2 linked regions of the Mytilus edulis genome follow. The protein of the gene in region 2 purifies or fractionates together with the protein of the main gene of each other region. This does not show direct contact. Links are inferred from orthologs where the notes say so. Each region holds a gene or a part of one and is shown on either strand. Other genes may lie near its edges.

The links. Proteins that work in one complex are often made in the same cells at the same time.
Region 1: the proteins of (E3-independent) E2 ubiquitin-conjugating enzyme-like (region 2) and putative RNA-binding protein Luc7-like 1 purify together in Homo sapiens (affinity purification with mass spectrometry; 3 studies listed by BioGRID and IntAct, counting the BioPlex papers as one, with this or other methods). This does not show direct contact. The link is inferred for Mytilus edulis from reciprocal best matches to the Homo sapiens genes UBE2O and LUC7L2.

Annotation. Positions count from the first base shown.
Region 1 is NC_092352.1:56,820,298-56,827,257, forward strand, and holds the start of putative RNA-binding protein Luc7-like 1, read right to left. Parts: upstream 3,007-6,960; 5' UTR 2,886-3,006; coding exon 2,825-2,885; intron 1,877-2,824; exon of another isoform or gene 1,805-1,876; intron 1,479-1,804; exon of another isoform or gene 1,415-1,478; intron 426-1,414; coding exon 331-425; intron 1-330. UniProt on the Homo sapiens protein: May bind to RNA via its Arg/Ser-rich domain.
Region 2 is NC_092352.1:21,626,199-21,633,046, forward strand, and holds the start of (E3-independent) E2 ubiquitin-conjugating enzyme-like, read left to right. Parts: upstream 1-3,845; 5' UTR 3,846-3,908; coding exon 3,909-4,112; intron 4,113-6,848. UniProt on the Homo sapiens protein: E2/E3 hybrid ubiquitin-protein ligase that displays both E2 and E3 ligase activities and mediates monoubiquitination of target proteins. Negatively regulates TRAF6-mediated NF-kappa-B activation independently of its E2 activity.

The DNA of each region.
Region 1 (6,960 bases), about 35 Mb from region 2:
GTCTGCATGTACTTTGGTTCCTCTGATATCTTCTTACTGAAAATTTGCACCTCTTTTGTAATTATTCCAATCAGTATTTACTAATTAACCACACATTTACTTGCTCTTTTAATAGGGAAAATAGGGATGATACATTGCCTCAATAAAATTGTATATACATTTATCAATTGTCAAAACCAATTGAAAAAACATTGTAAACATGTTTTTCCAAATAAAAAAAAAATGTGTTCTACATGTAGCTAACATGGCTAAGGAAACCCTATCAAACTTTATGTGGGATGTACGTACCAATTTCCATGTCATGTTTTTCCATTATATACAATCACTTACCGTGCTAGAAAGAATATCGTGTGGACAGCAGCTTAGCAGGAAACTCTTACATACCCGAGGATCGTCAAACTTCACTTTGTATCTGGATCGATCTCCTAGAAATTATATGATTCGACAAACATGTTAGAAACTTAGAAAATTCAACAAATTTTACACCTTGATATTTTGCCCATTTTATAATCAGTTCGCATAATGACTGAATGAAATCTTTTGTATTTTACAAATAACAAAAATCTTTGTAAAGGAATCAAATCTTTGTTTTCCAAATTGACTGGTTTTCAGAAAAGAGGTGCCATTATGTACATTAAGTGTACACATTCTTTTTACATTTCAGAAGCCAAAACATTAGTTCCTTGTGTTGTGTCTAAAAATATCATTATGCCAACTGTTATACATTACTATGATAATTAAGCATTACAAGTTGCAAACTATTAGTTCTAATGTTTTTTTTGTTACCAAATTTTGCAGTACTTCAATATAGAAAACAATTTAGAATATCATAGATTGCGACATGTACTTTTATCTATATTTCTGTCAAAAGATTTGGCTTTTAAAAATACACACAACATATCTGCTCTTGCAATAAATTGAAAATAATTGATATGTTAAGATTTATTTATTTAAAAACATTTATGAACCATACAAGTACTTACAGTTTTACTGGTGACATCCAATATCCTTGTTCTCGATTAAAAAAACTTATTCATATATTGTACAAAAATGTTGTACAAAGGATTCATGTGTTTTTTACAATACCACATCAGAATATTAAAGTAAACTATACATTTAATCAAAGTAATTAAGTTTTCAAAGTAGCAGAGTTTAGTTGTTCCTTATGTTTCTCCAAGTTAAATTTGTACTTATCATTCAAATTTTTCCTTTTTGACAAATTTATGAACACAGAAATTTTTCAAAATCAAGTTTTAGAAACAAAGGGTAAACTCTGTCCTATTATCATTTTTACTGTTCTAAAAGCATGTTTGATCACAACTTCTGGTCATAATCTTGAAACATTAACATAAACCAAATCTTTTGACAGTATTTTCAAACATTAGATTGTTTGTACTTTACATATTATACACACTGCGATCCTTTTATCATCTGTCAGTGGCATGCTTTTTTCTTAGTTTTACACCTTTTCCTCTCACCTGCAACAGTAAAGATTCCTCAAAGCTGCCAACATGCTCATTAATTAAGTGTAGAAATTATCAAATACATTTCAGTATGCAATATTGGCTTAATAAAAGTTAAAGTTTACATATTAAACATTATAAAGTTACCTGTTATAAATTTACCCTAAAATTACCTGTTAATAAATTTACCTTTCTAACATTACCTGCTAACATATTTTACCTTTTGATAAATTGACTTGATTTATGCTATTTATGAGAATGAAAATTTATTAATACATGAAATAGACAAAGTTACAATAGAAATAGTACTCTGCAATGAAAGCTATTTAATTTCAACTCACGGCTTGGACTTCATCACCTTAAAACCCTTGGCAAATTTGACTGCAATACACCTGACCATATGAAAGGGGTCCCTTGAAAAATAGGGATGCAAATTATTAAAACCCATGAATTTATTGTATTTCAATGTGTAACTGTTTGCATAAAATATTAGAGTCATACCATTTAAATATTTGAAATACATGCAAATATTTGAAACAAAATATATTTTCTTTAAACATGTAAAATGAGAACAAATGCAATATTTGATAACTTTTATTAATTATGACTGTTTTATCTCAAACTACAAGATAAATTCCAGTCTGAAAATCTCTTACTTTACCTTATCACTCAATTAAAAAATATATTTATGTTAGATACATTTGTAAATACATATTTAGCGTGCTTTTAAAGTAATAAAAAATATGTATAAAACAGTTACACATTAAAAAAATCCTGAAAACAAATGTTACTGTAAAGCAGACAACTAAAGCATTTGAATAAAAACATATACCAAACCACTCATAGAAATGTATACAACTCTACATATATAAAGTGAGAGGTACAAACTACATTTCAATTCATAATCATAGATAGACCGACTTTAATAATATTTCATATTTGATTCATCTGACAGCCAAACTTATAATATATAAGTATTAATTAAATTTCTTTACTTCAAACATAAGTTGAAATTTAATTTCTCATCATTTAAAAAATCATTACTATCCCGAAAAATTAAAATGTGACAAAGATAACAATATACAAATTTCTCAAACAAGTTTTAGTTATCTCCCCTTATTAAAGAGGTCAAGGACGCCAAAAGGCAAAACAAGATTTTTTGCAAACACAAGTTCATAAACGAAAACAGTGCAACAAATTCTTGTTTTCTTAAAATTCTCAAATTGAACATTTTGTATTCCGACAACCATGATATGAACATTTAGAAAATAAATTTTAATGGCTTGGGTCGGAAGGCTTTTCAAATCCTGTTTGCTTCCTGGTTTTCATGCATGATTTTGTCCTTAGAGTCTTCAACATACCATCTCTTGCTGTGCCCATCAGCTCATCCAACATCGCCCTCATTTGTTCTTGGGCAGACATTGTACTGTCTATTTATTTTTTGTCTACAATGAACGTCTAAGCAAATTATATTTCAACAACTACACATTCATGGCGTCAACACGTAGGCGGATAGAGCGCCACCTATCGAGGACTGTTTAGAAGAAGTCGTCCTAATCCCGGTATTGTACCCTAAATTCTGGATAAAAAGTATGATTATTTTGAGAATATATCGAGTTACGTCTATGATTTTATTATTCCTGTCAGGTAAATTATCTTTATGAGGTATATTGTAAATTCATGTCTCAATAGATTAAAAAACGAATTTACTGTCAGAAATCTGTTGATCCGTCTGTATTGGATATAAAAAGTAACAGAGACAGCGGACAAGACAGAAGTGCGTAGACGTTAAAAAAACCAAAACACCAACAGTCCGATGATAAGTACTATATATCATACCAGAGACATATTATATGTCTCTGATCATACTCATAAATATATTTGAAAATCTCATAAATTTCTATTCTCAGTAACCTTTCAACATTAGTATAAAATAAGGAACTTATGTAGTGGTATGCTTGCAAATGAGAAGGTGGCAACTATCTTCCACTGTCCATTAATTTGGCAATGGTCTTTTTAAGTCTAAGGGGACGGCCATTTGATATTCGATTTTTTTAAACTCACGATCAAGTTCATAACAAGATTACTAGATTACAAAAGGAACGCAACACTAACAGAATACAGAAGGGCAATCAATGAACGAAAGACAAATAAATAAGAAACATTGATCCGAAAAATCAGGGCTACGTCTGAGGGAAAACAGAACTTGCTTCTTGCAAGGCACTCGCCCTGAACACAATTTGATATGGAGACAAGCGTTTAGTTTTGAAATTTCCTACATGAGGCATTTGCCTCAATGTAGTTACGGCCCTGTTATAATAAAAGTGAGGTTAGGTTTCCTGAGACAATATATTCTTCAAGTTAAATGAAACCAATTTTCAGACATTTCAAGTATATTTAAATAATATTTATACTTTTATTATTAAAAAGATTAGGAAGTGTTTCCCCGATTTTTTTGGGGGGAAAAGATGAATTTATAAAGAATCTGGTGCCATCTCATACTTTCGATTAGACCTGCTGAGTTATTTATTTTCAATACATTGCAAGTCAGGTAATTTATTTTCAAACTACCACAGAACAAACCATTTATTTTTGTGATTATGAAGGCTGAGTTATTTATTTTCAAAATCCTCCTGATCCCCCCCCCCCCCCCCCCCGAATATAAAATGGTCGTCCCCTAATATACAATCATTGAAAAATCTAAGATAACATGTTAAAACAGTTTTGTAAAAATTGAGACCCGAAACATACGACTAAAACGACGTTACGTTATGATTTGTTTTATTTCACAGGTATTCAGACTTTTTGGGTTGTATTTTGATAAATAAAATTTAATTGATATAATATTTTGATAATATGCTGTTCTCACTTTAAAATTCATAACATTCTTAGTTTTTCATTACAAACAAGTAATTAAAAGCTCAGTCTAATTAAAATATAGATCTCTGATTGCCTTTTCCTTTCATAATACGAACCGAGGGTGCGACTGTTGATAGATCTGAATTTTAATCAGGTTGAGGGGTCATCGTGGGGCCTTCAAAATGAGCAAAAACCCGACTTTATCGCATAGAAAGCTAAAAAAAACACGCTTACATTACAAATTTACAACAATTCAAACAATATACTAAAAGGGGTATCAATTCGACAATTTCAATTCTTTAACCATGCTTCATTTTAACAGACATTGAATACACGTGATTTTGGTTTACATTCGTGTCCTTTATGATGTCAATTACCTTTGGACCAAATTTTATCTAAAGGATTCAGTTTCTCCGAATTTTTAATATTCGACGACTTTTCAACAGAACCGCGTTATCATCGAAAATTATTCCATCCACTACAATGACTTCTTTTTCAAAGCCGCCATAGTCTGAAAAAAATGTGACAGGAGCAAATTTGTTGGGAATGTTGAGATTTACATGATGTCCACTGTATACAGACTTTTATAGAACTCATTGCTCTTATCCAAAGGACTTATCATATTTTTTTTTGTCTTTTATCTCGAAAACCGTAATAGATAGACAAAAACATTAGACGTCAAAAACGAAGATGATGACAATTCTACAAATAAGTCAACTGAAGATTCAAGATTCAAGATTATTTATTTCTCAAACACCATAAAATTACAATGGTACAAAGAAGTTCATCAAAAGTTATATAACATAACACAAACACACATGACAAGATGAGATGAAAATATCAAATCATATAAAATAAACAGTATAGTAGCGAAGAGTGGTGATTAACCAGGAAGACTCACTTGAAAAGTTATAACCCTGATAAATTTGCACAGCTTTTTCAACTTATTTTTAATTTTTAACTGAAATAGTTTTTCAAATTTTAGTATGTTACATCTGTGCAAGAAAAAAGTATCCAAATATTGGGATCGAAAATTTGCCAAAGAACTACACTGCAAAGTGTAATGAAATTCATCGCCAATCTCGTTACAATAACATAAGTTACAATATCTAAGGTTTCGCTCAATCTTATTCCATCTACCAGTTTCGATTGGTAACTTATGGTTACCCGTTCGAAATCTACAATATGTTATTCTATCTTTATCACTTAAAATATTCAGATATTCCTCAAATTCAAAATTTTGTTTATACAATTTGTAGGCCAAACCTTTTGACGAACAGTCAATATCAGCTCTCCATTTCTGTTGAAACTGATCAGATAACTTTTGTTTTAAACTAATACCCAACCACTTTGGATTAAAATTTCCTTGTGACAACCATATATTGCTGTATCCACATTTATCTAATATATCTTTAACGTATTTCAACCAATCTGACCTAAATTGGTTGTCAGAACTTTTCAAGAACATATATTTGTATAGTATTTTAGCAATCCTGTTATCATCCCCATTTACCATTTTTGACCAAAAATTAACCATACGCAGCTGTATATATAAAGACATGGGATAAATACCAAGTTCACCATAAATCATAAAATTCGGTGTCGACTTCTTAAGGTTTAATAATAGTTTACAAAATTTTAAGTGCACTTTTTCTATAATATCAGTATTACTGAAACCCCAAATCTCACACCCATACAGGAGAATTGGCTTAACAATTTTATCAAAAAGATCATATTGTGATTTCACTGACAAGTTTAGTTTCCAGGTACTGCAATATTCAAAGAATATATCTAATTGCAACTGTAGATCGGATGCATTATCCGAAAATAACACTGTATCATCTGCGTACAATAACACAAACAGTTTTAAGTAGATATCAAACTCTTCTCTATTTCATCAGTAATACAATTTAAACCACATACATTTTTTTCTTCAATAAACTGTTGAAGATCGTTCAAATACAATGAAAATAAAAAAGGAGACATATTTTCACCCTGTCTTACACCGATATTGCATGAAAAGTATTCTGACATTTCACCATTATACACAATTCGAGATTTAATGATCGAGATCTTCATTGACAACCTATACTGAAGTTATTCGGCCCATAAATGAAGATTTTTCCAATATTTTTGCATTGTTGCCTATTATCTCAAAAACTATAACAGATAGATAGGTACTTAGATGCTATATATTGTTCAGTAAGCCATGATTTACAAATAAGACATGACAAAAATAGGAAGTCGACTCGTTATTGAAGTTTTTGCATTTAAATAAACGATTTTTCGGTTTTTCTACATATTTGCTTCTGACATGAGAAAAAATTGAAACAATTTAAAAAACTAATCGCCTAATTCATAACAAAACAATTTACGAAAAACAAATATGACAGACACGGACTAACAACAACCACTGAACTACTTTTCCACTGATTTTTATATTTGGTTCTTAAGCTTTTTATGTTACACCACTGTCTCAGATTAAGATGAGGGTTTTTCGCAAACAAACTAGTTCAACCCCGTCACGTCCTGCATGTTTGTGCTTGACCAAACTCAGGGGAGCGCATCGATCGTTCGTTGTTGCTGTATTTCATATTTGTTTTTCATTCACTGTTTTGTAAATAAATCAGGCCATTAG
Region 2 (6,848 bases):
AAGTTAATCCAATTACGGGTATTAACATGATGTTTAATGATCTATTCCATGCGTCTTCGTCTGTCATCTTTCAACATAAATATTTGTTAAAATCGAACCATAAACGCATCATGAAATTTCATATCGCACATGCAAAAAAGAAGCCATAGATATTACTGAAAAACGATCTTTTAATATGAAAATATTAAATATGATACATAAAAATTGACAAGAAATTGATGATTTTTGCCGTGAACTATAGGTTGATTTACACAAAAACAGTGATATACGGACAGTGTAAGAAAGTTGTAACAAATTGTTAAGACTGATTGAAAAACGATCTATTATATGAAATATACATAAAAAAATCGATTGAAAAACGATCTATTATATGAAATATACATAAAAAAGTGAAGATTTTTGCAGTGCAGTGGGTTGATTTACACAAATACAGTGATTTACGGACATACACACTATAAAAAAGTTGGAACACATTGTTAAGTCTGATTAATAATAAAATAAATCAGTTGGTACGAATTGACAATTGACTTGGTACGAATTGTCCAAATCTGGAACGAACTGGTTTGGAACGAATCGGACTTGGAACGAATTGACTAGCATTCACCTATCTACGCACAAATATAAAGTATGAAAAGTCCATTCTAAAATAAACGCATCATCAAAGATCCCAAAGGACATAATCATTTGACATGATAATATTACCAATAATTCGATATTATAAGCAAACGATATTTTTTTTTTAAAATGGTGTGAGAAAAAAAAATACATATTTATAACGTACAAATGTATGTTAAAACATGGACAGTCTATACATAGTGATACTCTTTCAGTTTGAGTAGATCATAAAATTTCAACTAAAATGTCACCAAGGATATTCACGGAGCTCGAAAAGATTTTTATTTATGATTGCTTTGATAAATTGGATAATACCAAGGACGTATAACTAACTATATATAACTAATGCATCATCTAGCCATTGCATCTGCCCATTGCCTAGTTTTATCTCAGGCCTACTGGGTGAACTCGAATAGTCAAACCCCATTGAAAGACAGTTACATACAGCTTGGCAATGCAACATGGGCAATGCCTAGAAAGAATTAATTATAGCTAGAACATTTGTTAATTTACCAGTATTTATACATAAAATTACTGATCTGTTTTTTTTTCATTTTCTAGTCCTTCTGAGTAAGTTTACTTCCTAACTATTAGTAAGTTCTACTAAAATGGCAAGTTATCCCATGAACAGTAAGATTACCATCAATAAATTGGGAATGGTACTATCTTGAATTTTACAAAATGTGTCAGAAAAGCACAACAGGATGTTCATATTTTTTCTACACTTTACAGCGTTTATTTTTTACTTTTTTTACTTTTTTTTTTTTTTTTTTTATTAAAAACTCATCTCAGACAGGGACTTTCTATACAGGGACTTTAATATAGAAAGTCCCTGTGTCAGACTACATGTAATATCATACACATTGCGTAATATTACTGTTACTCTCAGATTTTATTGACCAGTCTATATCTTTACTTGGGCTCCAAGGACTCCTCCAAGTGCACGTGATCGGAAGTGTTTTGATTGAAAATGAGACATTTTTGCACCAAAGAACAAAGGACTGTCACAAAACCCGAATTCAACAATCGGCATAAACTGTATCAGCTTATATAATTGTAAAAATGACTAAACCAAAGCGCTGTTAATTCAGTTCATCTTACAAGTTCATAATTTTGGACCAACAGCATTAAAATACCAGAAAATAAACATGGCTAAGAATAAAAAGACAAACAGACAAATAATAGTACAGAACTTAGAAAACTAAAGATTAAACAACACGAACCCCATCAAAAACTGGGGGTGATCTCAGGTGCTCCGGAAGGGTACGCAGATCCTGCTCCTCATCTGGCACCCGTCATGGTTTTTTTTTATTTTATTACAAATGCGGTTAATAGTCTAAATCGGAAGGTCACATTCGTGAAAAGGGGAGGGTTACGACATAAGGAACATATTATCCGATATCATCTGTGGAACGGTTATCCATAACGGTCAACCGACTCGTAATGGCGTCCGTAAAATTTACGAAGGGATGATTTCAAATTCACCATTTAGAACTCTTGGTTTATTAGCTTCAATGTGAGCAGCAATCATCTATCAAGGAAATCATGATAGGAAATACACATGCCAAGAAATCCTCGCTAAAAATTCCGGTCGACCTCCTACGGCAGTCATTAGTAGCTAAAGATTTTATTTCATTCAAGAAATTAATTTATGACCTTCATGTACTACGTGTCGCTTAGAACACGGCCAAATACGAAACGGTCAATATTAATCATCCATGTAATTTGCTCTATGAGTTCTTTGCAGAATTTCAACGGAGGCAATTTCTTGGCATGGGAGAAAGGAAGAAAGACTATTCACAATTTGTCTCACATTTGTTTTTCTCTTTTTTAATTAAATAAAAAAAATAAACCTTTTAAATATAGAAATCATAAGAGACAAATATTCCCTGTGGACTCCCCCCCCCCCCCCTTTTATTTGTGCTTTCTATTTTCAACCCTCGAATTAAGCTTTCGAATCTAATTAAAACCTTGCTTTCAAACCAATCTATTCATGTACCGGACCGGCAACTTTCTTTATTCAATACGAAAATCTACAGTGTTGTTATACACATGCATTTTGTTTGCTTGGAGTCCCCGCCCGAAAACTGAAAGAAATAGCCTTCAAGAAATTATTTATGACCTTCATGAACGTGTCGCTTAGAACATGGCCATATACCAAATGGTCAATATTAATCATCCATGTAATTTGCTCTATGGGTTGTTTGCAGAATTTCAACGGATGCAATTTCTTGGCATGAGCCCTTGAACATCGTATCAATTGGGCCGCATATATACTCCGTATGCAGGCGCTGCTGAAATGTTGCTACATAGAAATGGAAAGTTCACAATTGGGAAGCTGAAATCATCTCTTTTGTCGTAAAGTTTTATTTTCAACCGACCCTCATTGTCAATTTCTACATACAAGTCAACTCAAGTTATGAGAAAGACTTAACTGTATTTGTAGCATCCTTTATCTCTAGTTCGATGGGATAGATTTGTTTAACATATATTTAAATAAATGTTAAGGGGGTTCGCGGGTCTAAATCATTTATATAGGATTTCTCTATATTTTTCTATAAATGAACTTTATCTTAGAGTTAACAGAAAAATAAAATAAAAAAGTGGGGTCACAGTTCATTTGCGCTCACAATCTGCCTTCGAAAGAAGCATACATTTTTGTTAAGGTGTTTTTTTTCTGTTGAAGTAATAGGAGAAATAAAGGTAATATCGAAAAAAAAAGAAAGAAATTTATTACAGAAATCGCTCAAATTTTACAATAATTTAGTTTAAGTACAGCTTATATGGAAATTATATTAAAAAATATAGGTCACCGATGAGTTAAAAAAGATATTTCAATTTTAAAGCCAAAAAAATGGCATTTTTCCACCAAAGTGAGATAATTTGGAACTTTTTCAATGATGTATACATTTTAAAAGTCATCTGGGGCCAACAAAAATTGTTTGTTTTGAATGATTTTTGTACCATATGATAAGTAACAACTACAAAAGGTAACAAATAAAAATTTGAAATGAAAAACAAATGTTTATTTTTTTTCTGAAATCTTTTATACCCTCGAGCCTCCTTAAATTATTTAACTTCCCAGTCCACAAGTCACTGGATAGTCAAACAAATTATGCAAGGTCGACTTGATTGGTCATGGGCTAAATATTCAGTTGAGGAAAAATATTGTTAGTGATATTTGTTGAGCGTCTGTTTAGTACAATACAATAGGAATGTTCCGAATGATATTCCCGCAATTCTCTGCTCTTGCCTTTCACTTTTCTCATCTGAATCAATTTCATGCAGGCAGGATGGCGCAGACAGATTGTGCCATGTTTGAAGAAGATGAAGTATGCAAGCGATGTGAAGACAAGATCATCTATGGTATTGTTACTGAAAGTTCAGAATACATCAGCAGTGACGAAGAATACGATGATGATGAATTGTTAAGTCGTGGAACAGTTCGAATAATCTGGCACCCAGATGGGAATGAAACTGTCGAAGAAGAGAAAAAGGTGAACGTTCGAAATCACAAGGCCAAAACTGCATAATTTATTAAATATAAATAAGAAGCCTTTGTTATTTAGCTTACAGATTGTCATAAATATTGGACATTTATCCTTTATCTATAGGTGTTTTTCTTCTTCTGAACGGGGATAGTTTCTCTTTGAGTAACTTAATAACTATAGTACAACCTGTGACTTTTCTTAATTATACCTACCCTCTTGTATGGTCAACATCAAATGGTGACCATTTATTGGAGTATTAAATCTTGAGATATTGGCTATTAATTGTGGTCATAAAACATAGGTTGATCATGTGGACAGCTGGTTGATGTTAAATCTAATTATGCAATACAATACAATACAATATTTTATTAACGTCTCACCTTTTACAAAGCAATACATAACACATTGATTAAAACAAATTACACATATGTAAAAGCCATTCATATAGAATTATGAGAGACGATTATTTACACATTAGAAACAAATTTCACACCGCTTAAATTATGTTACCTGTTGTTGAAATCAATCTGGGTTGTAATTATCAGCTTGTATGTTCCATTAAATTAACTGTACAGGTAACTCATGTTTCTTTTAAAATTTACATTTTGAGCTATTGTTGCAATTGTAGAATAAAATGTTGATTTAGTCTTTGTTAATCTATATTGAGTCATAAAAAAATGGGTTAATCTATATTATTTGTTGATTTTTCTGTCTTCATCTTTTTTTCTTTTTTTTTTTTGTATCTCTCACACTAGGGACAATTTTCTAGTGTTAAACATCTTTCTGCTAATCTTCATTTAATACTTCTAATGGCATGTGTAATGTTCATGAACAAATGCAGCAAGTTTCCCAAAAGAAGAATGGTCTTAAACTGATCTTATATTAAAATGATACATGTAGAGAAACTTTAAAGGGTCTCACTAATTAGCGCCAAGAAGCGACAAGAAGCAACAAGAAGACTATTTAGCGACAAGAAAACATTTTTTTTTTATTAAATATAAACATGATAAAAAAATATGCATTTTTTTTTAATATACGGGCAGAAATAAATTGATAATTTTTTATTATATTGATAGATGAAGAAATTTAACATTTGTGAGGAAGAAAGGGATGGTGTAGTTTTTATCAAACATAAAGAATATGTTGAAGATATTAATGTGTGTAACGTAAGGGTACTCAAATTGCACTGAGTACCCAAATTGCACCTATTTAGAAAGAAATAGCAACGGAAATCTTACAAGATTTCCTAGAGACTAAACAATTTGTATTTTTATGATTTGATACTATGCACGTCTTTCAACATAGGTAAACATATTTAGATATACACAAAACGTTCACAGTCTTTATCAACAGATGGACTGTTTACTAAAAAAGCAAAATGTACGAAAACGTCACCATGCGACGTCATCAAAACGTCATCTTTTTAAAATTAGCAAATACAATATATTAAAGTATCCATTTCGTAAAATATGAAGAGTAAGCATGGACTAATATCCAATTGTTCAAAATATTTGAAGAAATTAAACAAAAGCTCGGTTATTAGACTTTTGACGATGTGAATTTAAGCATGGATGCAATTTGGGTACTCCTCATTACAGAATCATGGATAGTTTGGAGGTTGATTCAAACCCATTTTTTTATGACTCAATATGGATTAAAAATCAAATCGGTGTACCTATACAATAAAGAAGGATAGGGCTACAAAATAAACCCAGTATGGAAATTTTTTTCCTGATCATAAAACAACATAGGTGAAAAAACTGTCAAAATAGGTGCAATTTGGGTACCGTCACGTTATCTGTTTTCAATAAAGTAAGAGTATGAATAAACGAATAGAGTGGGCATAATAGAATATAATCTCTTGATTCATTTTCTTAATGCTATGTTATGAGTTTTAATCGCCACAACTTTTATTATTCATGAGCAATTGACAATAGTTACCTAAAACCCTGCTCTTTAAAATCTGGAAGTTTTAAACAGGTTACCACACAGTCATTTTGTACATTAAGTTGTGAAAAGTAGATCTTATTCCTTTTATCATGGTTGTGGATTGATTGAAATAAAATTAAAAAAACACATGGCCCTTTATGAAGTTAAAAGGTTTCTTAGTTCTAATCATTCAGCAAGATCCTTTTAGTTTCAAGCAGGCTAAACATATAGATTTTACAATTGCATTGAGATTGATGAATTATCTCCGACTCCTGACAATTAAATTTTCGAATTTGATTGTCCAGGGTGAAGAAATACTTCATTATAATTTTATTGTCTCCAGACATTTTATAAATGCTAGAACTTAAATTTTAGTTGTACCATTTGCAAATAATAAGCCTTAGGAAAATGAACATTGTTCATGTATATTGAAACATGGCAGCCATTTCTTGTGACACATTAGTCATTAGTATTATTCATTTATTTGAAGTCAACCATATACTCTGAGGAAAATATTTGACTTCATGAATTCTGAAGTTTCTTGTGAATCTACAGGATGATATTTGACATAAATGTATATTTTATATGTAACATTGGTAGACAGATCCTTGATGCCAGGAGATGTTATAAGATTTACATGTACAGTGATATTGTTTGCTTTAAATTTCCGGAGAATAAAGGCTTTTTCCCCTGGAGAAGAATCCCAATTTGAAAAAAAAATGGCTTAAAATTATTCCCAAAAAGACAAATTTTTTCCCAAACAGTGCAGTCTCAGTAGTAATTGTGCATGAATACAAACTGAAAAACACTAAT